Linked DNA regions of Anolis sagrei. The protein of the gene in region 1 purifies or fractionates together with the protein of each later gene. This does not show direct contact. Links are inferred from orthologs where the notes say so. Each region holds a gene or a part of one and is shown on either strand. Other genes may lie near its edges. The genes, in order: VDAC2 and FAM162A.

Region 1 (15,492 bases):
CAACAATATCTGGTGAACCACATGATTGCCACCCGTCATATAGGCTCTCTGCCTAAACCTGTAACTCGGCATGTCACTTCATGCATTTGTCATTACAGACTTCAGCCTGCAAATAACAGCCTGCAAATAATATATCCTTGGTGAATTATGGTACTCATTTGCTTGCATGTTGACTCCCCAGAAGGTAATAAATAAACATCGTCTTCTAATTTAATCTCCGTCTACACAAACTTCCTATTTAGGTGCTCTTCACCTTGCAAATTTGCTATAGATGGAAATGAGAATGCAGTGGACCCATGTATCTATTAGGATTTTTTCTAGGACCTACATGGATACCAAGATCCATGGAATGTGGTATCTATTATATAGAATGGCGCAGTACAATGGTCCTTTATATAAATGGTAAACGGGTGCTGGGCAGAACCTGTGCAGTGGGAAAAAAACTATAGCAGAGTATGCACTGAACAGGGTTGTGTTCACTGGCTACAAAATCAGGGGTTGCTTTTGAGAATTAAAAATATATTTTCAAGATATGGTTACTGGAAGACATGAATACAGAACCTGTATTTATGTCTTCCAGCTGATTTACAACCCTCCTAACGTAACATATGCTAACATAAAACCAACATATAGACAAACATTTTGCACATACTATGGTCAAATGCTTTGCTGAATCATATGGTTTTAGTAGAGGTAGCATGAGTGGCCATTTTGAGAAGTATTGTATTACTGCCTGGTACATGAATCTGCCTAATCATCTAGATGAAAGGTAGAATTTAATAGACTGTTTTTTTCCGCCTGCTCCTGTTCAACTGCTTTAGACTTTTCATTGTTATGCTGAGAAATAAAACATTTGCATATTCTAAATCTTCCTATACCCAGTTTCATTGGATATCTGAGTTGGATGACATGATCTGAGTATTTTCAATAGAACTTTGGGGATGGGGATAATTAACTTTCCAGATTACTGATTTCATAGAAACCATTCTAAGGTATCTTAACTCCTAATTAAAATGCAGATAACTCAACACTTAATGCAATTAATTTATTTAGGTCATTAGTAGTGCTGTGCGATTGATGAAATTTTTTTTCAAAACTCATTACAAAATTACGGGGTGCTGGCATTTCATTTCTAAAGTGTTTCTAAAGTAGCGTTAGTGAAAATTTCATTACTATAATGAGAATAACAACATTTCATTGGTTTTTCATTATAGCAATTGCTCAAGTGGGGAAATTTCAGGGTCTTTTTTCTCATTTTGACAGATATTTGAGGCGTAATGTGCTACAATGGTAGAACACATTTACCACTGTTAGCCCATCACATTTCAGAACATTTCACATATCCACAATTTTGGGGGGAATGTCCAAAGTTTTTATAAACATTTATAAACAAGATCCATCTCCTTGAATTTTCTATACAGATTTTCTGGATTATATGGCAGTGTAGACTCAGATAATTCAGTTCATTATCATAATTTGAATGATCTGCTTTGATAATCTGGATTATATGGCAGTGTAGAAGGGGCCCGAGCTGTTTCTGAGCACACCAAGACTGCAATGATTAGAGTCTCAGCCCAACCAGAATAGAAGCAAAACATGTTCTGCTGTTTAAGTTAAGCATAAAAAATACATGGTTCGGAACACTGGAAATGTCCTTCTAAAAAGTCAAGACATTGGCTCATCTAGTCCAGTGTTGTCTACACTGAGAGGAAGGAATGCCTTGTGATTCCAGATGGGACCATACTTAGAGATGGATCTGAAGGATTTTCTTGCAAAAAATGTAATCTGCCAATGAATTAAAAAGCCCTTCCCTAACAGAATATGTAACCGAGGAGATTGGGCATTTGGAGGGTTCTCTCAAGCCTACAACAATTCTTCATCCATTCTCACAGTTAGTAAAGGATACCCCTTTGTCCAAGCTATCTGAGGTCCCATCAGAAGCTGGCCCTTGCCCTCACAGGCTTAGTACTGCCACTTTTACTCTAGCAGGTACTACACCTTGTGGATCCCTGCTTATTGTACAGATATATAGAGCACAGGGGAAAGCAGTATGCCTTGGAGTGCTGCATCTTTAAGAAGTATGGAAAGAAGTATTTCAGGTGTGTTTTTACCACCAGAGTGCAGCAAGGATAGAAGTTAAGTTAAATAGTTTTTTCCCTCTGAGCAAATAGTTGCACTTCATTCTTAGATGAATTTGTTGGAAGTAAATCCCATTGACCTCAATGGGATGTATTTATAAACAAGAATGCATCTTGATGTTATGTTTATTTACTCAGGAGTAAGTTGCCATCGAGTTTAAGAGGACACTCTCAGATACTTACATACTACACAGGATCTCCCTGAGGATCTGGCAGAATTAAAGCAGAAACTTCCATTCTGTAAAGCCAAACAATGTTTGGGCTTGTACAAGAGTAACCTGATACCCTGAAGTCCAGATACAATGTTTGGGTTTGTACAAGGGCAACCTGATACCATACAGTCTATTCTTACTTTGACGAAACTCCTACTGAGCTCAATATAATACTTTCATGTAAGTGATCTAGGAGAAATTTTAAGTTCTGTCATTTTAAAAACTTAACCATCCCAGGGCTATATAAACGGCAAGATACAGGTATTTGTTACTTAAGTCATAGCTTTCCTTTGTTCAATTACAACAGTCCCCTTAATCTTTTTGTTAAGACAGGGGGAGTAGAGTATATCTTCCTCACTACAATAGGGCAGTAAAGTGCTAAAGTCTATCAGTTTAGCAGGCTTTGTGGCTTCAGTCACGTCAGGAGTTGCTGAAGAAACTGAACCCCTGTGCTATTTTTTCTCATGTCGGAGAACCTACCTTTCTTTATGTCGGAGGGTGGAAAAACAGAAATGATAGAAGAAAAGAAAAAGAAGAAGAAAAAGAAAGGACATAAACATACAGGTAAAGATGAATGTAATGGAAAATTTCATTCTCTTTCTCAAATTGCAGGATTGACTCGGTGTGGGAGAGTGAGTGAATGAGAAATAAGATGGGGTGGGTACCTGAGGCATTTTGGAGGGCTTTGGTGTTAGTAAAGGGCTGTGCTCTCCACATTTTGTAGGGAGGTTGGAAAGAGTGTGAGAAAACCTGTGGTGGGGTGTAGACCTCTCTGACTTTCCCAAAAGCCCCTACCATGGGTATGTCACCTGGGACGCACTCATATGCCACAATGGGCAATCTTGATACTGTCTGAACCTCATTTAGTTTAGTCACTGATTGGAACTGTATTACGATCACCTGCATACTTCTAAAACACATAAAAGAAAAAATACACACTATGAAGCATCAACTGCTTTTGCGACTGAGAATACCACTCCTAAATAAATGATATATCCTAAACATGCTTAATGAGATGTAAGTTCCATTGGTTCAATGATTAGCCAGTGATTTAATTCAATTGAGAAACTTTCCACAGAGTTGCAGCCTAACGTTTCACAATACATGATTTGAAAGCCAAACTCTACGAGGAGCTGTTTAGGGAGCTGGGTATGTTAAGCTTGGAGAAGAAAAGGCTGACAAAGGACATAATAGACATGTTTAAATATTCCACCTAAACATGAGGAAAACATCTTAATGTGAAGAAAAGTTAAACCAGTGGTTCTCAACCTGTGGGTCCCCAGCTGTTTTGGCCTACAACTCCTAGAAATCCCAGCCAGCTTACCAGTTGTTAGGATTTCTGGTAGTTGAAGGCCAATACACCTGGGGACCCTCCCTCACAGGGTGGAGGAATCTCCTTCCCAGGAGGTTTTGAAGCAGAAACTGGATGGCCATCAGTTGAAGGTACTTTTGAGTGTTCTTGCATGGTAGCAGTTTGGACTGGATGACCCTTCTAGTCCCTTACAACTCTATGATTCAATTATTCTTTAAATTTTTATTTGGCCAAAAGTTTGAAACACATGACACACAAAGTTATAAAGTGAACTTTAAAGGGATAGTTTAAAGTAGGAAATCTGTGGTCGGTTTTGCTTAACCCTTTCTCATCTCACTATAATATTTGCATAATATGCCATCATTCAGGAAGTATAACATGAAAATCCTAGCTCCATAGACCTATTTTCTAACCTTATCCAATTTGCTTTGTTTCCCTTGATGGATAAATAAAGGGGTTCCTATGTTAAGACAGCACTAATTTAACTCCCCCATGTTTCAAGTCACTTCAGATCTTTTTCACATCTCAAGCAAACTTGAGATGTGAAATGTGACTCTCCCCATCCAGCCATCGATCCATCCATCCATCTATCTATCTTCTCTCCTACTTTTTAACTTTTAAGTGTCCAAGTTTCAGTCTCCTTCTCCAATTCTGTCTTTTTTGACACCCCTCCCCATATTTTATTCCGTTTTGATGGCAATTGCTGGTGAAACTGAAGGTGTACGAGGCACCTTGCTGCAACCTGCTCACTCTCTCTCCATCACATGGAGGCATTGGGACAAGGCACATTGGTGCCCTGTCCCTGCCTCCATCAGATGGGAGAAAGGCATGAAAAATGTGGGTAGCTGCACTTGAGCTACCCAAAACACAAATTACCTCCCGCTGTTGTTGGTGAGGAAGTGTCTTGCAATGCTTCCTCACCACTTTGGCCACCAATGTGGGGGGGAGTCATGGCTTGCATCATGTGATGGTGCTTGGCAGGCCCCATCCCTGAAGAGGACCAAGGAGCTAAAAGAACCTTGTGTGATGAGGTAGTTTCAAAGCAAATTGCAAAAATTGTTTATACTGAGTAAACTGAACGGGTGGGAGTGGAATTAGGTAAAAGCAATCAATCTTAACTTATATTACTCCTCATGAAATAGCTTGAAATAGCTTGTGCTACCTTTACCACACACGTTACTTGGTCACATGTGTTTTGTGAAATGCTAAAGAGTACTTGGCAGATGCTGCGCACTGAGGTTGGGTATAAGACATGGTCCTCAGAGCAGGAACCAACTACACCTACCAACAAGGACACTTCAGGCTCATTTCAGTGACTGAGAGGAATGGAGCCCATCACATGACGTTGAACTACTTCCGGTTGTCATGTGTTCCCATCTCTAACTGAAATGAGCATGAAGGAGGGAGTTCCCTCCAGGGGTGAGTAATCGTCTTGTGAGCTGCTACTGCAATTTGATCCTCTCTTTAAAACAAAAAACACGTGGGATGGGAAGTATCCTTCCCTGTTTTGGTTCGTTGCTGCAAACAGAGAGCAGTGTTTGACTGGGGAGAATCAGCAGATTAAAGAGAGAAAGATAAAAGAGGTTTTTCGGCTGATAGAGAATGGGGAAAGCAGGGAGGACATGACAAGCCTTCCCCATGTGATGAATGTGAAGGCGGGCAACGTGGGGTCAAGAATGCTTCAAGAAAACAGTGGGATGGGAAGCAGTAAAAGTTTCACAGAGCGATTTGCATTCAAAAAGCGTTTTTCCCATCGCTATGGGGACAGACCCCCACGCTTCTCTACAAATCCGTAAGTCCATGTGATGAAGTCCCTAGTTTGCGTGTAATATCCTTCCTTTCAAGGTCTAAATATGCCTCATATTCCTTTGCTGGTTGGGATGAATAGTGTCGCTCCTGGACAGAATCTATAATCTATCAAGAGTGCAGACACAGTTTGTATCTAGAGATACAAACTGTTGTTGTGAACCGCTGTGAGTTGCCTTCGGGCTGAGAACAGCGGTATATAAGTAAGGTAAATAATAAATAAATAAATAAATAAATAAATAAATAAATAGAGAGCCACATTTTCATTACTTGTATCAAGACTGCAAGACAAAACAAAATGCAAGATTTTAAAATAGAGATGCAATCTTGGCACAATAAACAAACATATTATCACGTGCTGGTATATATAATAGCCCCTTTTACTAGATCTAACAAACATGTGGAGTATGTATTTTATTTTTAAAAAATATTTGCCTCTCTTTTTGAGCGTTTTCATAGAATTTTATTATTTCAGTTCAAGACTGCAAAGGCTGATAACTCTAGTCAATAGGGTTTTGGCTTTATGTTTTGTCTGGCAGATGCCTGCTAAGCTGGTATTATGTAATGATTTTGCTGACTGAGGGCTTCTGCCAGTCCCTCTGTCTAATCTCTAAATGATGCCTGTGTTTTGGTTCTGTTCTATGACATTTCTGTGCATGTTTTTTAATGTCAGGATCCTAATAAATCGGTGTCCTATATATTTACCTTGGCCCAATTTGCCAGCTTCTTGACCTAGTATTCCTCTTGTGGTTACCTGGGGCGCTCTCACCTCTGAGCTTCTTTGAAGTGTTTGTATAATATGTTTCAACAATTTCAGCTTTTAATCTCAGAGCTGGCTATTAAACCCGCTATGACATCTGGTTAATGTTGTTGCCATTTTGTAAGGTATTTTTCCAGCATCTTGATGTGGATTACAAAGCTTCAGCAGGCGTTCCTTTTTAAAAATTATATTGGTAGGGAAGTAGTGAGCTGGAACTCTGTCACTGGTCTTCCAGCTAATGACATAGAAAATATGTGACACATCTGTTGTAAACTCTGTACAAATGTACTAGTTGTAAAGGTCCTGTGTGGAATATTTCCTGGGTGGAGGTAGTGGTTTGCATTCCAATAGGATTGTACACTTTAATTATTTTTAAAACACTTGTGGTGGGTTTATGGCCCGTGCACCTCTCATTAGTATGCTCTATTTTGCTTCGAGTATGCACATATTCTCACACTTTTCTTTCCTAGTAAAGCAGGCCAACACAATTCTATAATTTACTACAATGAAATGCAGTCTGACGGGCTCCATAAACCTGTTTTAGCCACTTGCCCAGGGCTGCAAAAATTAGGAGGGTCAGGATACTAGCAACAGGATTGTTTGTAATGCATTAAATTTCTTAATGTTGTTATTTACATAGGCCTATTTCACAGGGCAGGTATGACAAAAATTATTTTACTGAGTAATAAAATGTACCATCTGTGATCCAACATGGACTGAAACATCCAGAAAAGAAATATTATAGCAGAACGTGTTCAATATTTTTAAACGGTATTGGGGAGAGGAAAAGGATAAATCAGGGAGGTTGGGGAGGGGGTAGAAGGGGTAATTTCGACTTCCAGTTGTCTCCGTATCTGGCTTCATAGTTTCTTTGGTTGATATTCGGAAGAGCAGCTAACCCTTTTCCAGTTGTAGTATTGTGTTATATTAAATTGTATTCAATTATCACTATTACTTATCATCCATTTATAGGGTTGTTGTCGGTTTTTTCGGGCTATATGGCCATGGTGTAGAGGCATTCTCTCCTGACGTTTCGCCTGCATCTATGGCAAGCATCCTCAGAGGTAGTGAGATTGGGGGGGGGGGTACCTCACTACTTCTGAGGATGCTTGCCATAGATGCAGGCAAAACGTCAGGAGAGAATGCCTCTACACCATGGCCATATAGCCCGAAAAAACCGACAACAACCCAGTGATTCCGGCCATGAAAGCTTTCGACAATACATCCATTTATAATTAAATGTCCTTGTCCTTTGCTGAACATAGCATTTGTTGGATTTTTTTAGTGGGTCTGTAGATAGTTTGTATGTTGTGTTTCCTCATCAGCTTCCCTATGTGGTCAATGGTTCCTTTGATGTATGGCAAGAACACTTTTCATCTGGGTGGATCTTTGTCTTGACCCTTGTGAAGTCTCAGCCTAGTTTTACCCCTCTGTTTATTTCTCTGTTTGCTCCCTGGAGGTGGACTGTTCCATTCTGCTAAGTTTTAGAGTAGGAGCTTAAGATCCCCCTAGAGGCCGAGCTCTGTTGGTTCAGCCCATTTTGGCTCAGAGCCTGGTGGAAGGCCTTTTCCCCTCCATCCTTCTTTGACTGAGCTTGTAGTAGTTAGCCAGAAAATGTCTGGTCTGGCTTTGCAGTTTGGAACAGGCAATCCTTAGCACGTATTTGCCTCAGAGACCAAAGTTTATAGATGTACATGCCAAAGACCTAAGCAGTACATGTCCCAGAGTTTATAGATGTACTTTCCATAGAATATAGATGTATATGCCTCCATAGAGTATAGAAGAATATAGATAGTATTTGCCCAAAGAGTATAGAAGTGTATGCCTTATAGATTAGAATTGTACCATCATAGAGAATATTATTTCATATAGTTTGTTCTTTACATCAGTTGTACCTTATACCTGTACCTTACTATTCTAATTCTATACCATCAAGAATCAAACTACACTTTTGTATACCTTGTTTTGATTCACCTTGATTATTCAGTAAACAATTGGTTAAATTTAGTCTCGTCTCTAGAGTTTTATTTTGGAGATATTAAAGTACATATAGGGCAGGGGTCCTCAAACTAAGGCCCGGGGGCCAGGTGCGGCACTCCAAGGTCATTTACCCGGCCCTCACTCTGGGTCAACCTAAGTATGAAACTACTTGAAAGCACACAATAACAACAACATTCCTATCTCATCAGCCAAAAGCAGGGCCACACTTTCCATTGAAACTCTAATAAGTTTATATTTGTTAAAATTGTTGTTCGTTTTAATTATTGTATTGTTTTAAAATGTTTTTTGCACTACAAATAAGATATTTGCAATGTGCATGATTTTTTCGAATTATAATCCGGCCCACCAACAGTTTGAGGGATTGTGACCTGGCCCTCTGTTTAAAAAGTTTGTGGACCCCTGATATAGGGCATACTGATGGTCACTGGGAAAATAGCCGGACATTTTCTTATCAGTCTTCCCAGCGTGTCATCACAACTCTTGTGGCTTGTTCTTGGTCTTGCAGCTGATGTCTGAGGTGGAGTATCCATTGGCCTGTAGAGCCCAGTTGAGGTGATTCAGTTCATCTTGAAGGAGGTGGGCTTCGTAGATTCTGCTTCTTCTGCTGGAGAAGCAATGCTGCATTCCCTGCAGATCTGGCACACAATAGAAAAGGAAAAGGCTCTCTTTATGTAATGATTTTTGGTTGTTTAGATAACCTGTGACATTGAGCTCTGGGCCAGAGAGGTTGTTTCTTAAGGTAACATTGTATTTGATTATGTAAACAGGTGTGGTTTACAACCAAAAGTTCAACAGTTGTGCTCTGGATTTCCCATCAGCCCTTTGCATGGTAATGAATTATCCAGCTCTTTTGTTCTTTCCATAATGCAGTTTGGTTTCATCTTTTTTTAGGATGGTGTCTTTAGCCCTGCCAGACCTCCATAGACCTCAGCCAGGCCCCAAGCGTCCAAGCCATTCAGTCCATTCTCCAGGCAGCCAGGGCGGCTCTGTCCCTCCTGTGGCGGGGTTTCCTTGGCGAGGCGCGCGCCCAGGGCACGAGGAGCGCGTTCTGCACGTTCCCTCACACAGCGCATGCCCAGAACGCTCTGCTCCTCCCGCCCCCCTCCCCCCGTTATGCAAGCGAGGCCACGCCCCGGCGCTTCTTCCTCGTCCCCCTCGCTCTCCCGCCTTCTCTCTTGGCCCCGCCCCTTTGTTTCTCCGCCCCAGGCCCTGCTGTGGCTGAGGACCTCTCCGTTACTCTCGCGGGGCATCCTACCGCAGTGCCTGACTAATTAGAGAATACCCTCAGGGCGTCGTTTCCCTTTGTATTCTCTCAGCGGCGTTTGCGCCTCGATTTGGCCCCCTCGCTGAGGTGACTGCTTGGATCCCCAAAGGCAGCGGCAGGGGTTCGGCACAGGCGCCTGCCAGGGCCACCCTCGCTCTCCCTCGGAGGGTCCTTGCGTGCAGGCGGGCGGCGAGCGCGAGGTGTCTCCTTCACTTCGCCCTCCAGCGCGGCCTTCACGCGGCGAGAGGAAAGGAAGCGCGCGCGCGAGAAAGGTGCGATATAGAGACGCTCCTGCGCCCTTTCCCCGTGTAGACAGGTAGGCGGGGTTGCCATGGAAACACGGCGGGCCCCGCGGGGGAGGGGGGTCTTGGTGCTCGGCCTCCCAATTGGTGGGGAGGAAGCGAGGGCTCAGGACCCTCCAAGAGAGGCTTCTCTCTGCATGGAATTGGCGCTGCTCCAAAGCCAAGGCCCCACTTTGGAGACTCCCCCCCCCCACACGTTACTTTCCCAACAGCCTTGCGAAGTTGCCTCACCCCCCCCCCCCCTTAGGAGTGCCCCTCTCTTTGCAAAAGTCTGTTCCTAGTATTTCCTCAAAGCCTTGTGTTCTCCCAATAAGAACGAATGGACATGTGATCTGGGCGGAAATTAAGGCCTAAACACAGTCGCTGGCCTCCATTAAAGTAGTAGGCGTGTGGAGTCGATTAGTGAGTGGTGAAGCAATATTCTCCTCGGGGTCTCCAACTGGATTTAGGCCTCTTCCCTTCTTTCTGCCTCTTTCTCCCCTTTTTGGGTTAATTAGTATAAGTTCTAGCCAAGCTGCCTTTGGTGGAATTATCCTTGGAAAAGGGGGATACTTCATTCTGTCTTATTCCTTTGCTCAACTTCTGTTTCCTCTCCCTGTCTTTTAAGTATGTCTGTAACCTGCATTTTTAATCCCCGGGCCATTGTTCTTGGCTCTCCCTCCTCTTCACACACTCAGCCTTCTAAAATTGCAGCCTTGAGGGAATTGGTTACTCCTCTCTGTGCTTCTTAAATGGTTTAAGCTTTTTTTTCTTTTTCAGGTATTCTTTTCTTGTGACCTGCTGTTACCTCCAATTTCTGTTCTCCTCTTAATATAGATGTCTTTTCTTTAATTTGCAGCAAGAGCAGCAGCAAAAGAATCCAGCTCTGGGAGAATTTGAACTTTAACAAGAGGAGGGATATGCTCTTCGTTTGTTGCTGTAGAAAACAATAGAATAAGGGACCGGGGATATTTAAGGGGTCGCCAGTCTGTCTCTTTAAGATGGCGGCATGGAACAGGTCACACTGCAGTAATTGTAGGAATGTCCTGGTTCCCCTTCACTCTTCTGCCCCTCATTCACCTGTGCATCGTTGCAAAGCCACAATCTTATCCCATAAGTGGGGCAGAGGCAGCTTCTATGATAAGGACTTAGATCTGTTTGGAAGAGTTTTCCAAACATTTCATGTTGGTGACACCCTTTTTAGACATGCTTCCTTTTTGTGACACAGTAATTGAGTTTTCCTGACAAACCAGAGTTTAAACCAACCCCTTACAAGAGTTTCTTTCTGTTTCTCTCTCTATATATATGATTACACACACACACACATATAAGATCTATGTTAAATAAAGTATAATATATACTTTTCATATAAACTATACTGTATAAACAAGGTTTGGATTTTTTACACTTATGTACTACAGTTGATCTTGCGTAGTTTCCTCTCCACGTGCTTCATCACAAACATTGTTAAAAATTTTTTTCTTAATTAGACATTTATGCATTTTAGTGGCAATTACTACAACACAACCAATTACTCAAATTATAAAGGTTAAACAGCACTTACACTTGAACAATACCAGACTTTGTTTGTTGGGGTGGGTGTGGGTGGGAGAGCATTTTTCATGCTATACACCTAGGGACTACAGGTGACATATGAGTGTATCCCAATACAGTTTGGAAAGCTCTGATCTAATTGTAATGCAAGATTTTAAAAATTACCAATGCTGAAATTGTTTATACTCCAGTTAACTTGCATTTCTATAATTTTCTTAAAAATCTAATTCTTCCCATTTTATAGATTTTCTAAATTGGAGTAGATAGCTATGAGTTTTAATCCAGCATGTCATCTCCCGTCAAGAAGTAAGTAGGGACATAGTTAAAGTAAGGATGTTCAAGTAATTAAACTAATATGTTGATAAGTTTAGTCATCGAAAAGTTTGAAGGGAAACTAATATCTAACAAAACAGTTCATTGATAATCAGAAGAAGTTGACTCTTTTTGGTAATATTAAGTGCTTGAAATAAGCCTATGTGCCATTGAACTGCCTTAAATGAAAATTTGCTTCCATCTGTTCTGTGTCTTTCTGCATGTTCTACTTAATAGATGGAAACTAGAGATATTTCCAAAGCCTTCTAAGAATTACTTAGGAGTGTTTTGAGATAAGGGTGAGGAGGAGTTTGAAAGAAAACTTCAGTGAAGGGTGCAGCATTATCCAATCTTCATGAAATTTAGTTTTAATTGTCATGCATCTACCTGCTTTTGACTAATATTTGCCTAAATTTTGCATAAAGATTTATTTGTCTCACTTTACATTTATGTTCCAGTTGGGGGTCTACTTAAAATTGAAAACTGTAGCCATTTGAGACAAGAAGAAGTTTTTATATGACTGGAAGATAACATTAATGCATAACTTGAAATTACTTCCGTGTATTTTAATTCAGCTTACTATTAAATAACTTTTTAGACTGAAACATTTTATTGCATGATTATTATTATTTTTGCAAATTTATGTTTTTATCAGCTTCTCTGCATTTTGGAGAGAGAATAGTATTTCGGCTAAAAAGTTACATACAGTAGTAGGAAACGGAACTTATGAATATGCAAATCTGAAAAATCCAAAATACTTTTGGTCCCATGCACTTTGGATAAGAGGTGCTCCACTTCTACCTCTTCTAAACCGAAAAAAAACAGGAAGAGGTGATGGTACTTGGAACCTTAATTTGCCTCCCAAGTTCTCAAGTTGCTGATCTTTCAGGACATAGAAGATATTTCAATTATTTAGTCCCATCTAATAAAACTAGACAAGTAAACCCACACAACTGTGTGTGACTTTAATATACAGATAATACAAGGAAAGAAATCCTTATAATATGTCATTGTCAGACTGTAATGATAATATATACTGAACATTGCTGTATGTTGAATGCAACCACTGAATTTTATTATTTACTGTAAAGGATGTGGTGCAATCCAGGGATGCTTTATCATGCTTGCCTTAAGATTTACAGTAGAATTAATCCTAATGTGAGGATATTTTCTCTGCACAATAAGGCATGGCAGATAATACTTCTATGCAGCACAGCAGAAAAACTAAAACAGGGACTTTGTGGTTGGGTAAGCATTCCAGAAGTGCCAAAATACTCCATTAATGTCAAATGCCACCCCCGCTGCCCATTTCAGACTTGCTCTGTGGGTGGTACACTTACCTTAGCCTTTAGCTATGCTCTCAGAGCTGAGCAGCCAACTCTACAATGATTTATAATATGATGATCAATGAATTGCAGATGGAAATAATGCTAAAACATTGACCAGAGAATCATAGATTCCAATTAGTTTTAGGATTCTCTTAAAACTTGGCATCTGTAACATTGGTTCAAAGTACTCAAAGAAAACAAAATTAAAGATCATATTTCTTGGATATAGAGTCTCATTAAGGTATACCCAGGAGTACCTGTTGTCCAGAGAAAAACATTGTATTCCAATATCAGCACATCAGTACTTTAAAAGTTGAAAATAATAAAAAATAATAAATGCGGCAGCAGGTCATGGAGTGCTAAACGGTGGTGTTTGTGTGTCCCCTGAATACCATGCAATTTTTTGTGATCTCTATTGCTTCTTCAGATTCCAGGCATCTGTCAACAAAACTGCATAACAAAATGAACAATTTTCTTGTGTGACAGTAGACCTTAAACAGTAAAGAGGATATTGGATTTTTCTAACATTGTGCAGCTGTTACTCAGCCTTGTTGTGAAATAAGCTTGTACCATTGTCGGATACAAACATTTGTTTGCAGGAATTTAATGTATGGAGTGAGAAAGAAGAGACTAGCAAAAAGTTTGTCTTTTGTATCCAAAAAGTGTGTCCTAAATATCCATAAAATATTTGGGCGTTCTGGTCTGAAAAGGATGTCTTCTTTCATTATCTTCCGGTTGTATAGCCTTTCATATTCTTCTTTTTAAAGAAAAAATATTAAATAAATGTATCTAACCATGAAGCAGTACGTTTACAGTATGTATCTTATTAGTTGTCCTCTCTGGACACCTACCTACAAATATTTTTTTAAAAAAATCAAATATAATTACAAGTGGAACTAACAACTGTAATGATAAAGCAGTTTTGTATTCACTGCCATAGTAAAACATTGGAATGTTTTAATGTTAAAAATAAATGCAGTTAATTTTTAAAAGAAAATTCAGTACTGATATGTCTTTTTTGTTTGTCAGCAACTCCAATGGCTATCCCACCAGCATATGGAGATCTCGGCAAGTCTGCCAGAGACATCTTCAACAAAGGATTTGGTATGAATTAAATTTGTGATAGATGTGGTATTGTCCATGTACTATTGTTGCCAATCTTTGTCCCATTTCCCTTCATGGTGTTGAACAAAGTAGTTTCAGGGAGAGAGAAACAGTATTATGGCAAACTACCATTTCTTGGAGGACTGAGTCAAGGTTGAAGGCCAGTTTTTGCCCTTGTGCCTCTCAAGGGCACTGCAGAGATGTGTTTACTCTTAAGGTGGGAGTGGCATGATACCACTTCTGATTTTGTTTTCAGCAGCATCTGGGAATGTCACCAGGGCTAAATTAAATAAAACTGCTGCCTTTGGAATTATTTGCTTTTGCACTATTGAACCATTTTTGACCAATGAATTGTCTGTTTTCTAAAATAATGATTCCATGTCTTTATTTATTTATTTGTGGTATTTGTATATCACTCTTCTCAACCCCAAAGGGGACTCAGGGCGATTATCGTCAGGGATTTCAGGGGTGGAAAAAAGCATGTAAGGGTGGTCTCAATTTGGACTTTCAGATGTGTCTTCTGTAGCCCCAATCACATATTTTTAGCATTGTGGTATTTGGCTTTGGGAATGGATCTCTTCAGTAGTAAGGGTTCTGCCCTCCACACTGTTTGTCCTGACTGAAACAGGAGGTAGGCGAGTTACTCCTGTCCAATGGGGAGAATCCTTACCACAAGTCAGTGGTGACAAATAGCGGGGCAGATTTTCCTTGGTGCTAATGGAAAGTTGTGATGTAGCCAGAACCTTCACTGTTTAGCTGTTGAGAGACATATGTTGTTTAAATGTCAGATTAACATGCTGCTATATTCTTGTTCTCAACCTTACAGATCATCACACCTCTTATAAAGCAAAAAAGATACTCTGTAGGAATATTTGTTAGACATTTTTTCCTAAGAAAAAAATGCGTAGAACATAGGCAATGCAACATGAAAGCCCCAGCTAGAATATTTGGACAATATTAAATAAATGTGGCTTAATAATCAGGCTCACATTGTAATGGAAAGTCATGGAAGAATATGTGTCCATAAAAAAACTTGGTTTACATTTATATTTTCCTTCTGCTGATTAAAAAAAATGTAATCACCTAGATGTAAATAAATACATCCTGTCTTTATCAGATTGCATCTGGAACGTATTGTAAAACAGTGTATATAGGACCCATTCTGAAAATCCTTTCACCCGAAATGGAACTTGAGAGTGTATTTCTCTGGACAGATCTCTGCCTCATCCCTGCTCCTAGATTCCAGTCTCATTCATTTCTCATCTGTCTTTGGCACAAGGATATGTGAAAGTGAGGAGACCTTTCTTCCTCAAACAAATAATTATATCCAGAATTGGGTGAAAATAGATTTTAATTGTGTAACCTTATTTTTTCTACATTTTATTTTTTATATATACATGCTATATTTTTCCTTGTTTTC
Region 2 (15,347 bases), on another chromosome or scaffold:
ACTGGTGAAGCTCTTTACAAGTTTGGCGAGCATCAATTTTTCCTACAAAAGATAATGTTGGAACTGTAGTATTTAACTCATGGACTATTCTGTCATCAATTGTTCTCATCACTCTGAGCAATTCCTGTAGAGATAAAATAATAACAGATTTTTAACAGTCTGAGTTACACACATCTAACTTACAAATGACTCATAGTTAAGAACAGGCTGAGACAACAGGAAGTCAGAGAAATGTGTCCCTCAAAAGGGCAATTCACTCCTGAAAGAGTTATCATGGAGAAAAGGTGTCTCCACTGAAGCTTTTTCACCAAACCTTTTTTCCACAACAAGCCAAATTTTCAAGTTCCAATTGGCACAGGAACAGAAAGTGAGGTCAAATCTTCTGAACAGCAAAACAAACGCCACAGGAGTGTAAACTCTTCCCTATGCTATCCAAAGATACACAGGTAATCCAAAATATCTGCTTTGAATTGAAATATCTGCGTCTACACTGCCATATAATCCAGTTCAAATTAGAAAATGTGGGATTTTAAACAGCAGTGTAGAAGGGGCCTCAATTCTTAGACAATATTGTGGGATTTTCTGCCTTGACATTCTGGGGCCCCTTTCTTGTATAAAATCCCATATTATCTGCTTTGTACTGGTTTATATGGCAGTGTGGACTCAGGGCCCTTCGACACAGGCCTATATCCCAGAACATCAAGGCAGAAAATCCCACAATATCTGCTCTGAACTATGTTATCTGAGTCCACACTGCAATATAACCCAGTACAAAGCAGATAATGTGGGGTTTTATTCAGTTGTGAGGAAGGGCCCTCAGATAACCCAGGTCAAAGCAGATATTGTGGATTATCTGCCTTGATATTCTGGGTTACATGGCTGAGTGGAAGGGCCCTGGGAGAAGTGTCTCAATCTGTGTAAAATGACTGAATGTATCGGAATGCTCCTTCTCTGGAGCAGAGGCCGAGGCCCCTTCTACACTGCCATATAATCTTGTATCTGATCATAGAGTTGGAAGAGACCTCGTGGGCCATCCAGTCCAACCTCCTGCCAAGAAGCAGGAAAACTGCATTCAAAGCACCCCCAACAGATGGCCATCCAGCCTCTGTTTAAAAGCTTCCAAAGAAGGAGCCTCCACCACACTCCAGGACAGAGAGTTCCACTGCTGAACGGCTCTCACAGTCAGGAAGTTCTTCCTCGTGTTCAGATGGAATCTCCTTTCTTGTAGTTTGAAGCCATTGTTCTGCATCCTGGTCTCCTGAGAAGCAGAAAACAAGTTTGCTCCCTCCTCCCTGTGGCTTCCTCTCACATATTTATACATGGCTATCATGTCTCCTCTCAGCCTTGAGAACATGCCCAGCTCTTTAAGCCGCTCTTCATAGGGCTTGTTCTCCAGACCCTTGATCATTTGAGTCGCCCTCCTCTGGATACATTCAAGCGTGTCAATATCTCTCTTCAATTGTGGTGCCCAGAACTGGACACAATATTCCAGATGTGGAAGGAAGATTATCTGGGTTGTTGTAGGTTTTTTCGGGCTATATGACCATGGTCTAGAGCAGTGGTTCTCAACCTGGGGTCCCCAGATGTTTTTGGCCTTCAACTCCCAGAAATCCTAACAGCTGGTAAACTGGCTGGGATTTCTGGGTGTTGTAGGCCAAAAACATCTGTGGACCCCAGGTTGAGAACCACTGGTCTAGAGGCATTCTCTCCTGACGTTTCGCCTGCATCTATGGCAAGCATCCTCAGAGGTTGTGAGGTCTGTTGGAACTAGGAAAAGGGTTTATATACCTGTGGATTGACCAGGGTGAGACAAAGAACTCTTGTCTGCTGGAGCTGGGTGTGAATGTTTCAACTGATCATCTTGATTAGCATATAATGGCCTGATAGTGCCTGGAGCCAACTTTTGTTGAGAGGTGATGAGATGTCCTTGTTTGTTTCCTCTCTGTTGTGCTGTTGCAATTTTAGAGTTTTTTTTAATACTGGTGGCCAGATTTTGTTCATTTTCATGGTTTCCACAGGTATGTTGTTCATTCGTTCAGTCGTCTCCGACTCTTTGTGACCTCATGGACCAGCCCACACCAGAGCTCCCTGTCGGCCGTCACCACCCCCAGCTCCTTCAAAGTCAGTCCAGTCACTTCAAGGATGCCATCCATCCATCTTGCCCTTGGTCAGCCCCTTTTCCTTTTACCTTCCACCTTCCCCAGCATCATTGTCTTCTCTAGGCTTTGCTGTCTCCTCATGATGTGGCCAAAGTACTTTATCTTGGCCTCTAATACCCTTCCCTCCAATAAGCAGTCCGATTTTATTTCCTGGAGGATGGACTGGTTGGATCTTCTCGCAGTCCAAGGCACTCTCAGTACTTTCCTCCAGCACCACAGTTCCACAGGTATATAAACCCTTTTTCCTAGTTCCAACAGACCTCACTACCTCTGAGGATGCTTGCCATAGACCTCATGGGTTCAATACACAATAATGTTATATAGTATTTAAAAAACTCTAAAATTGCAACAGCACAACAACAGAGAGGAAACAAACAAGGACATCTCATCACCTCTCAACAAAAGTTGGCTCCAGGCACTATCAGGCCATTATATGCTAATCAAGGTGATCAGTTGAAACATTCACACCCAGCTCCAGCAGACAAGAGTCCTTTGTCTCACCCTGGTCATTCCACAGATATATAAACCCCTTTTCCTAGTTCCAACAGACCCCACTACCTCTGAGGATGCTTGCCATAGATGCAGGCGAAACGTCAGGAGAGAATGCCTTCCACACAGCTGAAAAAAAGACCACATTATCTGCTTTGAAGTGGGACATATGGCAGTGCGGACTCAGATAGAATAATAGAATCAAAGAGTTGGAAGAGACCTCATGGGCCATCCAGTCCAACCCCCTGCCAAGAAGCAGGAATATTGCATTCAAATCACCCCTGACAGATGGCCATCCAGCCTCTGTTTAAAAGCTTCCAAAGAAGGAGCCTCCACCACACTCCGGGGCAGAGAGTTCCACTGCTGAACGGCTCTCACACTCAGGAAGTTCTTCCTCATGTTCAGATGGGATCTCCTCAATTCAAAGCAGATATTGTGGGATTTTCACCTTGATATTCACTTCACTTTATTTCTTAATTAGTCGCTCTCCACCAAGGTGCTCCGAGTGACTTACAATCTAAAATAGCATTTACACAATATTAAAACATTCAACATAAAAGCATTCAACAGTGACTATTTGGCAAATTAGATCTGATTACTCAAATGCACAACCAAACAGCCAAGTCTTGAGTGCCTTTACATAAGGTCGCAACTCCGACATTGCTCTAATGTATGGAGGCAATGAGTTCCACAGAATTGGAGCATAGGTCGAAAAAGCTCTACGCCTTGTAGCTTCCAAATGTGCCTCCCTAGGGCCCGGTACGTATAGGAGATTTTCCTGGGTGGATCGAGGTGACCATTGATGGGGAAAAGGAATGAGGCGGTCCCTAAGATATAAAGGTCCTTGGCCATTTTGAGCTCTAAATGTCAGGATCAGTATCTTGTACGAGATCCGATGTTCTATTGGTAGCCAATGCAGTTTGTTGCAGAATTGGTGTAATATGGGATCTTACAGATGATCCTGCTAGCAGCCTGGCCGCTGCATTTTGGACCATCCAATCTTCTGGGTTGTTGACTACGGAAGGCGTTGCAATAGTCCAATCTTGTGATGACTGTTGCGTGGATTACTGTTGCCAATGCTTCTACCAAAAGGTAGGAGAGAATGCCTCTAGACTATGGCCATACAGCCCAAAAAAACCTACAACAACCCAGTGATTCCAGCCATGAAAGCCTTCGACAATACATTGAAGATTATCTGGTTTGAACTGGATTATCTAGCAGTGTAGACTCAGATAATCCAGTTCAAAGCCGATAATGTGGATTATCTGCTTTGCTATTCTGGCTATAGAGCAGTGTAGAAAGGGCCTGGACATCTGTGGGGCGGATGTGGCTTGTGCCTCCCTGCCTGGCAAGAAGGGGGTTGGCTCGGCTGGCCTTCGGGAGTCCCTTCTAATACTTCTAGGATGTTTGAACTACACGATCCAGGGGTCGGGAGAGGCCACCGACTCCTGTCCCGTGTCCTTATGGCCTCCTCGCTCCGGAGAAACAGCCTCCGGGGCCATACCTGGAATTCAGCAAAGTCCTCACAGTTTGGATGAGAGTTGGGCGCCGCCATATTGGAGAGTCACAACCACAGCCAATCAGCGAGCGCGGCGGCGCAAGAGTAGCTCCTCCCCCCTCGAGATTGAATTGAGGCAGGACGAGGCTGCGGCTTCTGCGCCTGCGCAGGCAAATAGGCGGGAGGAGGTGGCACCACTGAGCTTTAGGTCACTTGTGTCAACTTCCGCCTTTTCCAGGCCTCGAGGGTGAACCACAGGGCACTGAGGCGCATTAAGGGCATGCTTTCATGTGCTTCTGTGGCTGTGGGGATTTCTTGTCAGGCCAAAGCAGTTTGAAGCTGGCTTCAAAGTGTTCTAAATAGTCAGTGTAGAGCACTTGCGTGGCCGCAGGCATCAACTAGCAGGAATGTGTCCAGAGGAGGGTGACTAAAATGATTAAGGGTCTGGAGAACAAGCCCTATGAGGAGCGGCTTAAAGAGCTGGGCATGCTTAGCCTGAAATAGAGAAGGCTGAGAGGAGATATGACAGCCATGTATAAATACATGAGAGGAAGTCACAGGGAGGAGGGAGCAAGCTTGTTTTCTGCTTTAATTTTATCAATATCTGTATGTATTTTTATCCTTTACCATTTTAGCTTGGAAATCATCTAGAGCATCTTGGATGGAGGGTGATTAATAAGTAATTAAATGATGATGATGATGATGATGCTGCCCTGGAGACTAGGACGTGGAGAAATGGCTTCAAACTACAAGAGAGGAAATTCCATCGGAAGCTTCAAATGGTCCAACGCTCGGCAGCCAGGTTGCTGACAGGAGCGGCACTCAGGGAGCACACCACTCCTCTGTTGCGCCAGCTCCACTGGCTGCCAATCTGCTACCGGGCACAATTCAAGGTGCTGGCTTTAGCCTATAAAGCCCTAAACGGTTCCGGCCCTACTTACCTCTCCGAACGCATCTCCACCTATGAACCGACTAGGACATTAAGATCATCTGGGGAGGCCCTGCTCTCGATCCCGCCTGCATCGCAGGCGCGGCTGGCGGGGACGAGGGACAGGGCCTTCTCGGTGGTGGCTCCTCGGCTGTGGAATGCCCTACCTGTGGACATCAGACAGGCCCCCTCGCTGCTGGCGTTCCGGAGGAAGGTCAAGACTTGGCTTTATGAACAAACGTTTGGCTAAATAGTGCAATGGAATACAGGAAGATGGTACAACCGAACATAGGAATTGGTATAAAGGATTATGATTACGGATTATGATTCTGATTTGTTGCTGAGGCGCTACGATTATGATAATGATTGTTTTTTGACCTTGTATGTCTTGTATAATGTGTTTTAATTGCCTGGATATTGTTGTGATAATTTGTATTATGTAAACCGCTTTGAGTCGCCATTTCGGCTGAGAAAAGCGGTATAGAAGTAAAGCAAATAAATAAATAAATAAATAAACATGAGGAAGAACTTCCTGACTGTGAGAGCTGTTCAGCAGTAGAACTCTCTGCCCCGGAGTGTGGTGGAGGCTCCTTTGGAAGCTTTTAAGCAGAGGCTGGATGGCCATCTGTCAGGGGTGCTTTGACGCAATTTTCCTGCTTCTTGGGAAGGGGTTGGATTAGATGGCCCATGAGATCTCTTCCAACTCTATGATTCTATTATTCTAGGGCAGTATTTCTCAACCTTCCTAATGCCATGACCCCTTAATACAGTTTCTCATGTTGTGACCCCCAAACATAACATTATGTCTTCAATGGCAACCCCACATATATAGCCATGGTCTAGGCATTCTCTCCTGACGTTTCGCCTGCATCTATGGCAAGCATCCTCAGAGGTAGTGAGGTCTGTTGGAACTAGGAAAAGGGTTTATGTGTATTATTATATGACCAGGGTGAGACAAAGGACTCTTGTCTGCTGGAGCTAGGTGTGAATGTTTCAACTGACCACCTTGATTAGCATATAACGGCTTGACAGTGCTAGAGCAAACTTTTGTTGAGAGGTGATTTGATGTCCTTGTTTGTTTCCTCTCTGTTGTTGTGCTGTTGTAATTTTTGAGTTTTTTAATACTGGTAGCCAGATTTTTTTCATTTTCATGGTTTCCTCCTTTCTGTTGAAATTGTCCACCTGCTTGTGGATTTCAATGGCTTCTCTGTGTAGTCTGACATGGTGGTTGTGAGAGTGGTCAAGCATTTCTGTGTTATCAAATGCTGTGTTCTAAAATGCTGTCCAGGTTGGTTCATCAGGTGCTCTGCTATGGCTGATTTCTCTGGTTGAAGTAGTCTGCAGTGCCGTTCATGTTCCTTGATTCATGTTTGGGCAGTGCTGCGTTTGGTGGTCCCTATGTAGACTTGTCCACAGCTGCATGGTACACGGTAGACTCCTTCAGAAGTGAGAGGATCCCTCTTGTCCTTTGCTGAACGTAGCATTTGTTGGATTTTCTTGGTGGGTCTGTAGATAGCTTGTATGTTGTGTTTCCTCATCAGCTTTCCTATGCGGTCAGTGGTTCCCTTGATGTATGGCAGCCCCTACCAATGTGCTCCACAAAACACAATACTTCGCACCACCCAAGTGAATGCTTTCAAACCCAATTTAATCCTAGGTTTTATGTGTTTCATCTACCATGGACATTTCAGTGTTTTATACTCTCTCCAATGGTGTTCAATTTGCATGATCCCTAGTTAACACACTTCATGGGATCCTGCAAATTGAGTACCAATGGAGAGTACCTACTGGCTGTTAGGAATTCCAGGAGTTGGAGTCCAAAACACCTGGAGGGCCCAAGTTTGCTCATACCTGAGCTAAACGCACAAAACTGGAGGAGCTCCATTTCTAGCTTTCAAGCATCCCGAGCTCTGAGGATTACCTGGGAAGGAATCCCACTGGAACATTGCAGCACACCCAAATATCTGGGAGCAGGCCCGTAGCCAGGATTTTGTTTGGGGGGGGGGGGGCTGAGTTTGATTTTTTTTTGGGGGGGGGAAGGCTGAGTATGAGTGAAAGAGGGTCTACCCTAGCAAACCTTTTGTATTGTTACCCCAATACCCCCATGGATATGGGATATATTGAGCATGGTGATCAGATCATGATATGAATAACATAACAGTTTCAATAATGTAGCAGTAAGGCCTTCTCGCAGACCACCATGAGAATTTGGGGGGGGGGGCTGAAAACCCCCAAGCCCCCTCCCCCCCTCCAGCTACATGCCTGCCTGGGAGTCACTCTGGACCGTGCTCTTACCTACAAGAAGTACTTTCTGAATATCAAGCAAAAAGTGGGTGCTAGAAACAATATCATACGAAAGCTGACTGGCACAACTTGGGGATCACAACCAGACACAGTGGAGACATCTGCCCTTGCATCTGCACTATGCTACTCTGCTGCTGAGTATGCATGCCCAGTGTGGAACACATCTCACCACACTAAAACAGTGGATGTGGCTCTTAATGAGACATGCCGCATTATCACGGGTTGCCTGCGCCCTACACCTCTGGAGAAATTACACTGCTTAGCTGGCATTGCACCACCTGACATCCGCCGGGAAGTAGCATCCAATAGTGAAAGGACCAAGGCAGGGACATCTCCAGCTCATCCCTTGTTTGGGTATCAGCCAGCACGTCAACGACTTAAATCAAGAAATAGTTTTCTAAGATCTACAGAGACACGCTGGAACACATCGGCAAGCGAGAGTCCAAAGGTGGCAGGCTCAAACCCAGAACCTCAATCCATGGCTGATACCAAATGAGACACAGAAAACTGGGCGACTTGGAAGACGCTCTGGCACCACGAGATGCAGAGCCAACCTTAAGAAATGGGGCTACAAAGTGGAATCCACGACATGTGAGTGTGGAGAAGAGCAAACCACTGACCACCTGCTGCAATGCAACCTGAGCCCTGTCACATGCACAATGGAGGACCTTCTTATAGTAACACCAGAGGCACTCCAAGTGGCCAGATACTGGTCAAAGGACATTTAACCAACTACCAAGCTTGCAAACTTTGTGTTTTTTTTTAATCTGTTTGTTTTGTTCTGTTATAAATGTAATACAATGGTCTAGTTGCCCCTGACACGATAAATAAATTTCTAGCTTTGGTTGCAAGCAGGCCTCCTTTGGCCAAGGGCGCGAGGCCCCGCCCCATCCGCTCCACTTCCGGCCCCTCCTCCTCGGGCAGGGGGCGGGGCCAGCCTCCCTTCAGCTGGCCTTGGTCAGAGGGCCGATTGGCAGCAAAGGAGAAGGCCGGAAGCGGCGCAATGTCGGGCCCCCTGGCCGCCGCTGGTGAGTGCGCTCTCCATTGCTGTTGGACCTTGGTCTCCGGGGCGGGGAGGAGGCCTGGCTCTGAACATCCATCCGGCCAGGCCTAGTCAAGGCGGCCAAGAGAGGCGCCTGTTGGCGGCCTTGTGCGTTTCCGGGCGTTTTGCAAGGAGTGCTCTGGGGAAGTTCTGCCAGTTCCTGCCTCCCTCAGTGGTTCCCAACCTTTGGGCCTACAGTTGTTTTGGACTTCAACGCCCAGAATTCCCAGCCATCTTACCAGCTGTGGGAGTTGAAGTTCAAAACACTTGGAGGCCCAAAGGTTGGGAACCTTTAGGGCTTTGTTGTTCGTCTCCCCAGCCAAGTCTCAACCAGTGCTGGCTCTGCTTAGCCTCCAAGAGAGAGGAACCTGGCGCCTAAGCCCTCTCAGGCCCCTTCCACACAGCTGAATAAAAGCCCACATTATCTGCTTTGAAGTGGGACATATGGCAGTGCGGACTCAGATAGAATAATAGAATCAAAGAGTTGGAAGAGACCTCATGGGCCATCCAGTCCAACCCCCTGCCAAGAAGCAGGAATATTGCATTCAAAGCACCCCTGACAGATGGCCATCCAGCCTCTGTTTAAAAGCTTCCAAAGAAGGAGCCTCCACCACACTCCAGGGCAGAGAGTTCCACTGCTGAACGGCTCTCACACTCAGGAAGTTCTTCCTCATGTTCAGATGGAATCTCCTCAGTTCAAAGCAGATATTGTGGGATTTTCACCTTGATATTCACTTCACTTTATTTCTTAATTAGTCGCTCTCCACCAAGGTGCTCTGAGTGACTTACAATCTAAAATAGCATTTACACAATATTAAAACATTCAACATAAAAACATTCAACAGTGACTATTTGGCAAATTAGATCTGATTACTCAAATGCACAACCAAACAACCAAGTCTTGAGTGCCTTTACAAAAGGTCGCAACTTCGACATTGCTTTAATGTATGGAGGCAATGAGTTCCACAGAATTGGAGCACAGGTCGAAAAAGCTCTACACCGTGTAGCTTCCAGGTGTACCTCCCTAGGGCCCGGTATGTATAGGAGATTTTCCTGGGTGGATCGAGGTGACCACTGATGGAGAAAAGGAATGAGGCGGTCCCTAAGATATAAAGGTCCTTGGCCATTTTGAGCTCTAAATGTCAGGATCAGTATCTTGTAAGAGATCCGATGTTCTATTGGTAGCCAATGCAGTTGTTGCAGAATTGGTGTAATATGGGATCTTATAGATCAGTGGTTCTCAACCTGTGGGTCTCCAGGTGTTTTGGCCTACAACTCCCAGAAATCCCAGCCAGTTTACCAGCTATTAGGATTTCTGGGAGTTGAAGGCCAAAAACATCTGGGGACCCCAGGTTAAGAACCACTGTTATAGATGCCTGCTAGCAGCCTGGCCGCTGCCTTTTGGACCATTCAAATCTTCTGGGTTGTTGACTTCAGAAGGCCAGCATATAAGGCGTTGCAATAGTCCAACCTCGTGGTGACAGTTGCATGGATTACTGTTGCCAATGCTTCTACCAAAAGGTAGGATGCTAATTTCCTTGCCTGGCAAAGATTTAAAAAGGCCTGCTTACTTATGGCAGTGATCTGGGCCTCCATCGTCAGCGATGAGTCCAACACAACCCCAAGGCTTTTAACAGTGGAAGACGGAACCAGAGCTTCCCCATCGAAGTCAAACAGAGACTGGATTAATTCTGGCGGCTGGCCAGGCAGATATTCTGGGTTATATGGCTGTGTGGAAGGGTCGTCAGGTCAGAGCTTTCCAAACTTTTCGCGTTGGTGACACACTTCTTCTGAGGATGCCCTGCTCTCAATTCCATCTTCCTCGCAAGCGTGACTGTTGGAGACGAGAGACAGGGCCTTCTCAGTTGTGGCCCCTCAGCTATGGAACTCCCTCTCTAGTGAAATTAGAGCAGCCCCCTCCCTCCTGACCTTCAGAAAGAAAGGAAAAAAGTGGTATGAGACCAAGCTTTCGAACAGCAAAGTTCATAATGCAATAAGATAATAAGGAATAGTGAATGGACCAATGGAACAGCTAAGGAATTGATTTTGGATGGTGTGATTTCAATAACTGTTTTTAAATCATGTGTGTGTCACTATAACCTGCAATGTCATTGGAGCCATTGGTAGCTCCTCAGTGGTGGAAATTATAGCTGTTTGTGGATGTGGGAGTCTCTCTGTGGAAGTGGGAGCCCCAGCCACTCATATACACACATATTTTCACTTTTATTGTGCCTATAGATAAAGATTTCACAGAGATCCAGCGGATTCTCCTTATATTTGTGTGACACACCCATACATTGCACACGACACATCATCATCATCATTATTAATGCCCTGCTTTATCTCCCCCGGAGGGGACTCAAAGCGGCTTAACATAAATGCATCAGCATAACTGTATTGTTGAAGGCTTTCATGGCTGGAATCACTGGGTTGTTGTAGGTTTTTTGGGCTGTATGGCTATGCACTAGAAGCATTCTCTCCTGGTGTTTCACCTGCATCTGTGGCAGGCATTCTCAGAGGTTGTGAAGTCTGTTGGAAATGAAATGTGGCGATTTACAAGCTAAATTGTAAAAGATAAAATACGTAATACAGAAATTAAAAATTAACAGAGATCGAATGCTCTAGTAAAAAGCCAGGTCTTAAGTGCTAGAGTAAAAGGTCCTAAGTCACGCATGGCTCTCATGTAGGGCGGCAAAGGATTCCATAAGGCAGGGGCAGAAATACAAAAAGCCCTGCGTCTGGTACTTTCCAAGTGCACTTCTCTAGGACCCGGTATATACAGTAAGTCACGTTGTGCTGGTCTTTGCGGCCTTCAATGATAGGAGAAGGAGAGGCGGTCCCTAAGGTACGATGAACCCTGGCTGTGAAGAATTTTAAAGGTCAGAACTAACATCTTATACAGGCCACGGTACTCAGTTGGAAGCCAATGTAAATGTTGCAGCACTGGTGTTATATGGCATTTCATGGGCGTTCTTGTGAGTAACCTGGCTGCCGCATTCTGAACAATACAGAGCTTTCGGGTCGTAGACTTTGGAAGGCCAACACACAGGGCGTTGCAATTGTCCAGCCTAGACATGACCGTGGCATGGATGACAGTTGCCAGAGCCTCGTCAGATAGATAGGGTGCCAATTGCCTCGCTTGTTGTAGATGGAAAAAGGCCTGTTTGCTGGCAGCAGCGACCTGAGTTTCCATTGTCAGCTGCGAATCCAGGATGACACCTAAGCTCTTAACAGTGGTCGATGGAGATAGCGCGGCTCCATCGAAGGTGGGTAGCTGATGAGCATGCCATATGTGGATATGTAGATGATACTTTCACCATTTGGAGCCATGGAGAAGAAGTAGTAAACAGGTTTCTGGACCATCTCAACAGCATCCACCCAAACATCCAATTTACCATGGAAAAAGAAAATGAAGGAAAACCACCAAGAAGGAAGGCCCTCTTTCTCGTTCCCACTAACCAAGCTTGAGATGGAGGTGGCACTGAGAGAAGGGCTTCTCCTGAAGATCCCAGGGCCCGGGCAGGTTCGTACAAGAGGATGTGGTCAGCTAGATACCCTGGATCTGAACTATTTAATAGTGTGTTACTACACACAGTTTGGAAAGATCTGCTTCTAGACTTTGTTCTGCAAGGACTATTGGCTGCCCTATGCTCTGATAGGGAGCCCCTGGTGGCGCAGTGGGTTAAAGCACTGAGCTGCTGAGCTTGTTGATCGAAAGGTCGAAGGTTCGATTCCAGGGAGCGGCGTGAGCTTCCGCTGTCAGCCCTAGCTTCTGCCAACCTAGCAGTTTGAAAACATGCAAATGTGAGTAGATCAATAGGTACTGCTCCGGCGGGAAGGTAACGGCGCTCCATGCAGTCATGCCAGCCACATGACCTTGGAGGTGTCTACGGACAACGCAGGCTCTTCGGCTTAGAAATGGAGATGAGACCACACCCCAGAGTCAGACATGACTGGACTTAATGTCAGGGGACTACCTTTACCTTTATCTTTTATGGTCTCATAAGAGCTATTGTTTCTCTTTAACTGTCCTGTGGAGTTCTGGGCTTGGCAATGTGGCCTCCACAGCTGGAGAGAGCTTTTCTGGTGTCACCTCAAACCACAAAGCATATGGCAGTTAAAGTGGAACCACAGTGGTATAATTATGTATTGTGTATGGGGCCCTGGGACTGTAGGCTGCATTCAGAGGAAGGCAATGACAAACTACTTCTGGGTATTGCTTGCTTCATGGGATTGCCTTAAATTGTCTGGTGACTTGTAGGCATATCAACTCTTCTGACTTAAGTGGAGCTCCTTCCATAGTGAAAATGTGTTAGATTTAAATTCACAAATCTGAAACTTGTTTAAGTGCTGTTTTCCCAGATCTGTCCTTCTCATTCTACATGACTATTCTTTGCATTTATCCCCCAGGCAAAGTTGTTCAGATCCTGGACAAAAATCTATTTTCTGTTCTGCGTGTTACTAAAGGATCATGTTACACACTGAATAGAAGATTATGCAGCAAAACCCAGGAGACCAATGTACAGACGTCAAAACCAGAGGCTTCAGGTAAACATCATCATCGTTTGCAACCAAATTGTGTCTGTCCTGAATTGGAAATGTATCAAAGGGGTCCAATTCTCCAAAAAAAATGTGCACAGGGTTGCAACCTTAGGTTTGTTTACAATTATGAAAAGCTGGTTAGTGGTCTTGCAGGCCTACAGTTGACCCCTGCATGTTTTTTCCTGGTCTTCTTCATGATTTAAATACTTTAAATTGGTATTATTTTACAGCTTTCCGCAGGGCATGTAAGACACATCTGGTTCGACGGGCCTTTGACCTTTGACTGCTGTTTTTTTTAATTGTTTTTAAATTGTGTTCAACTTTAGCCTGTTCTTGTAAACCGCTCCGAGCCCCAGGGGAGTGACGGCATATACATTCAAATAATAAATAAAAATAAATAAAAAGTAGTCGCCTGATTGCTTGTGAGTGTTTACACAAGTGGTTTGCTCTCTGGATAGAGTAGATTAGCTGTAGAAAACTCTGATTAGAGTGGGCTAATTGCTTTGAAGACAGCCTGAGTAGGTTAGTCTGGGGAACTCACTGCTACTGCGTTACTGTAGAGTGTGGAATTTCGCTAGTAGGTTAAGTCAAGTAACCTGTTTTAAAGAAACCATCAAGAATACTGTACTTTAGTAACCATTTAAGCTTTTGTGCCTCGTCAAAGAAGTCAGTTGTTTGTTTGTTCTGATAAATCTTTTCTCTATTTCAGCTTTTAAAGAAGCCTCAGTTGTAATTCATTCCTATGGGGATAATTCTAATTCTTTTTACATCATAACATCACAATCATTTTGGGAGCTATGGGGAGAGCTGTATTGGGATGGCAGGGAAAAGCTTACCTCAGGGAATCATCTTTAATATCTTAAGGTGTCTTAGGTGGTGGCAGTGGTCATCTGTTATACTATCCTTTCGTACAGCTTGTAAAACTTATTTGTTTAGGCTGGCATTTGAACCTTGCTGATCGAATTTTTCCTTGATTTTAATGTTATGTATTACATGTGTATATTGTGAACCGCTCCGAGCCTTCGGGGAGTGGTGGTATATAAAATTGATTAATAAATAAATAAAATCAGTCTAACAACAAAATATTTTTTCTTGTTGTATTGATTTTTAGCCCTGTTCCTGGGGTTATTTGGGGAACTGATTTAGAAAATTGTATTGTGTCAATACTGCTATTTAAATGGAGTCTTTGGTTTGGACTTATTGCTTCATCTTTTTTTCTTCCTTGCTTTTCTGTAGGAGCCTCTTTCAAAATCCCAGGACACAAGCCCACTGAACGAGAGAAGAGAATGTTGCTATGGACAGGCCGATATAAGAAAGCAGAGGACATACCTGAAAATGTGTCGTAAGTACAGTTCTTGTTGCCAGTTTTGAATCTTTCTGAATTGAATCGGGCAACTGTAATTAAAAGCAAAGTGTACTCACACACCCCGTTCCCTGGTGGATGGAGAAGAGACCAGGAGGCAGCATTAAGTCCAACTCCATAGGAAACGCACAATGAGAGATGGCTGTCCAGTCTCTGTTTTAACAAATTCCAAATGACACTCTACCACACTCCAAAGTGAACCTCTGTTGAATATAATAAATAGCTCCCTGGAGCAAGGAGTTTTTCCAGAGGATTTAAAAGAGGCGATGGTATCTCCGCTGCTGAAAAAAACAGACTTAGATTGTTCGGTTCCCTCTAGCTACCGCCCAGTCTCGAACCTTCCGTTTCTGGGCAAGGTGGTTGAGAAGGCAGCAGCAGAACAGTTGCAGCAGTTCCTAAATGACACGGCCAGACTCGATCCCTTCCAGTCCAGCTTCCATAGTGGGCACAGGACGGAGACTGTGCTAGTTGCCATCACAGATCAGCTTCGCTGCCAGATGGATCAAGGCGGATCAGCGCTGCTTGTGTTATTGGACCTCACAGCAGAATTTGATACAGTTGATCACAATCTATTGACCCACCGCCTAGCCATGACTGGGGTTAGGGGGATAGCCCTTAAATGGGTGTCCTCCTTCCTCCAGAATCGGGGACAGCGTGTGGTGAGGGGAGAGATGGTTTCCGAGAGATCTCTGCTAACTTGTGCGGTCCCGCAGGGAGCTATTCTCTCTCCTCTATTATTTAACATATATATGCAACCGCTTGCCCGACTGGTGCGGAGCTTGGGGCTTGAGTGCCACCAGTACGCTGATGACACTCAGCTCATTCTGAGGATGGAGTGCCGGCCGGACTCTGTAGCCGAAAATTTCCATCAGTGCCTTGAGGCCGTTACTGGATGGTTGCGTGCCAGCAGGTTGAGGGTGAACCCAGCGAAGACGGAGATCCTTTGGCTGGGCCGTCCGGGTGGGAGGGAGGTCCAGCTGCCTACCCTGGATGGCGAGACACTACGTCCGTCATCTTCTGTA

Evidence for each region.
Region 2: the proteins of VDAC2 (region 1) and FAM162A fractionate together in Homo sapiens (co-fractionation; 3 studies listed by BioGRID and IntAct, with this or other methods). This does not show direct contact. The link is inferred for Anolis sagrei from reciprocal best matches to the Homo sapiens genes VDAC2 and FAM162A.

What each region holds. Positions count from the first base shown.
Region 1 is NC_090023.1:149,128,010-149,143,501, forward strand, and holds the start of VDAC2 (voltage-dependent anion-selective channel protein 2), read left to right. Parts: upstream 1-9,660; 5' UTR 9,661-9,809; intron 9,810-11,572; 5' UTR 11,573-11,597; coding exon 11,598-11,634; intron 11,635-13,997; coding exon 13,998-14,072; intron 14,073-15,492. UniProt on the Homo sapiens protein: Non-selective voltage-gated ion channel that mediates the transport of anions and cations through the mitochondrion outer membrane and plasma membrane.
Region 2 is NC_090022.1:170,362,531-170,377,877, forward strand, and holds the start of FAM162A (protein FAM162A), read left to right. Parts: upstream 1-8,295; 5' UTR 8,296-8,381; coding exon 8,382-8,406; intron 8,407-12,830; coding exon 12,831-12,968; intron 12,969-14,198; coding exon 14,199-14,304; intron 14,305-15,347. Other genes in the region: protein MIX23, read right to left, coding at 1-124, 4,153-4,203. UniProt on the Homo sapiens protein: Proposed to be involved in regulation of apoptosis; the exact mechanism may differ between cell types/tissues.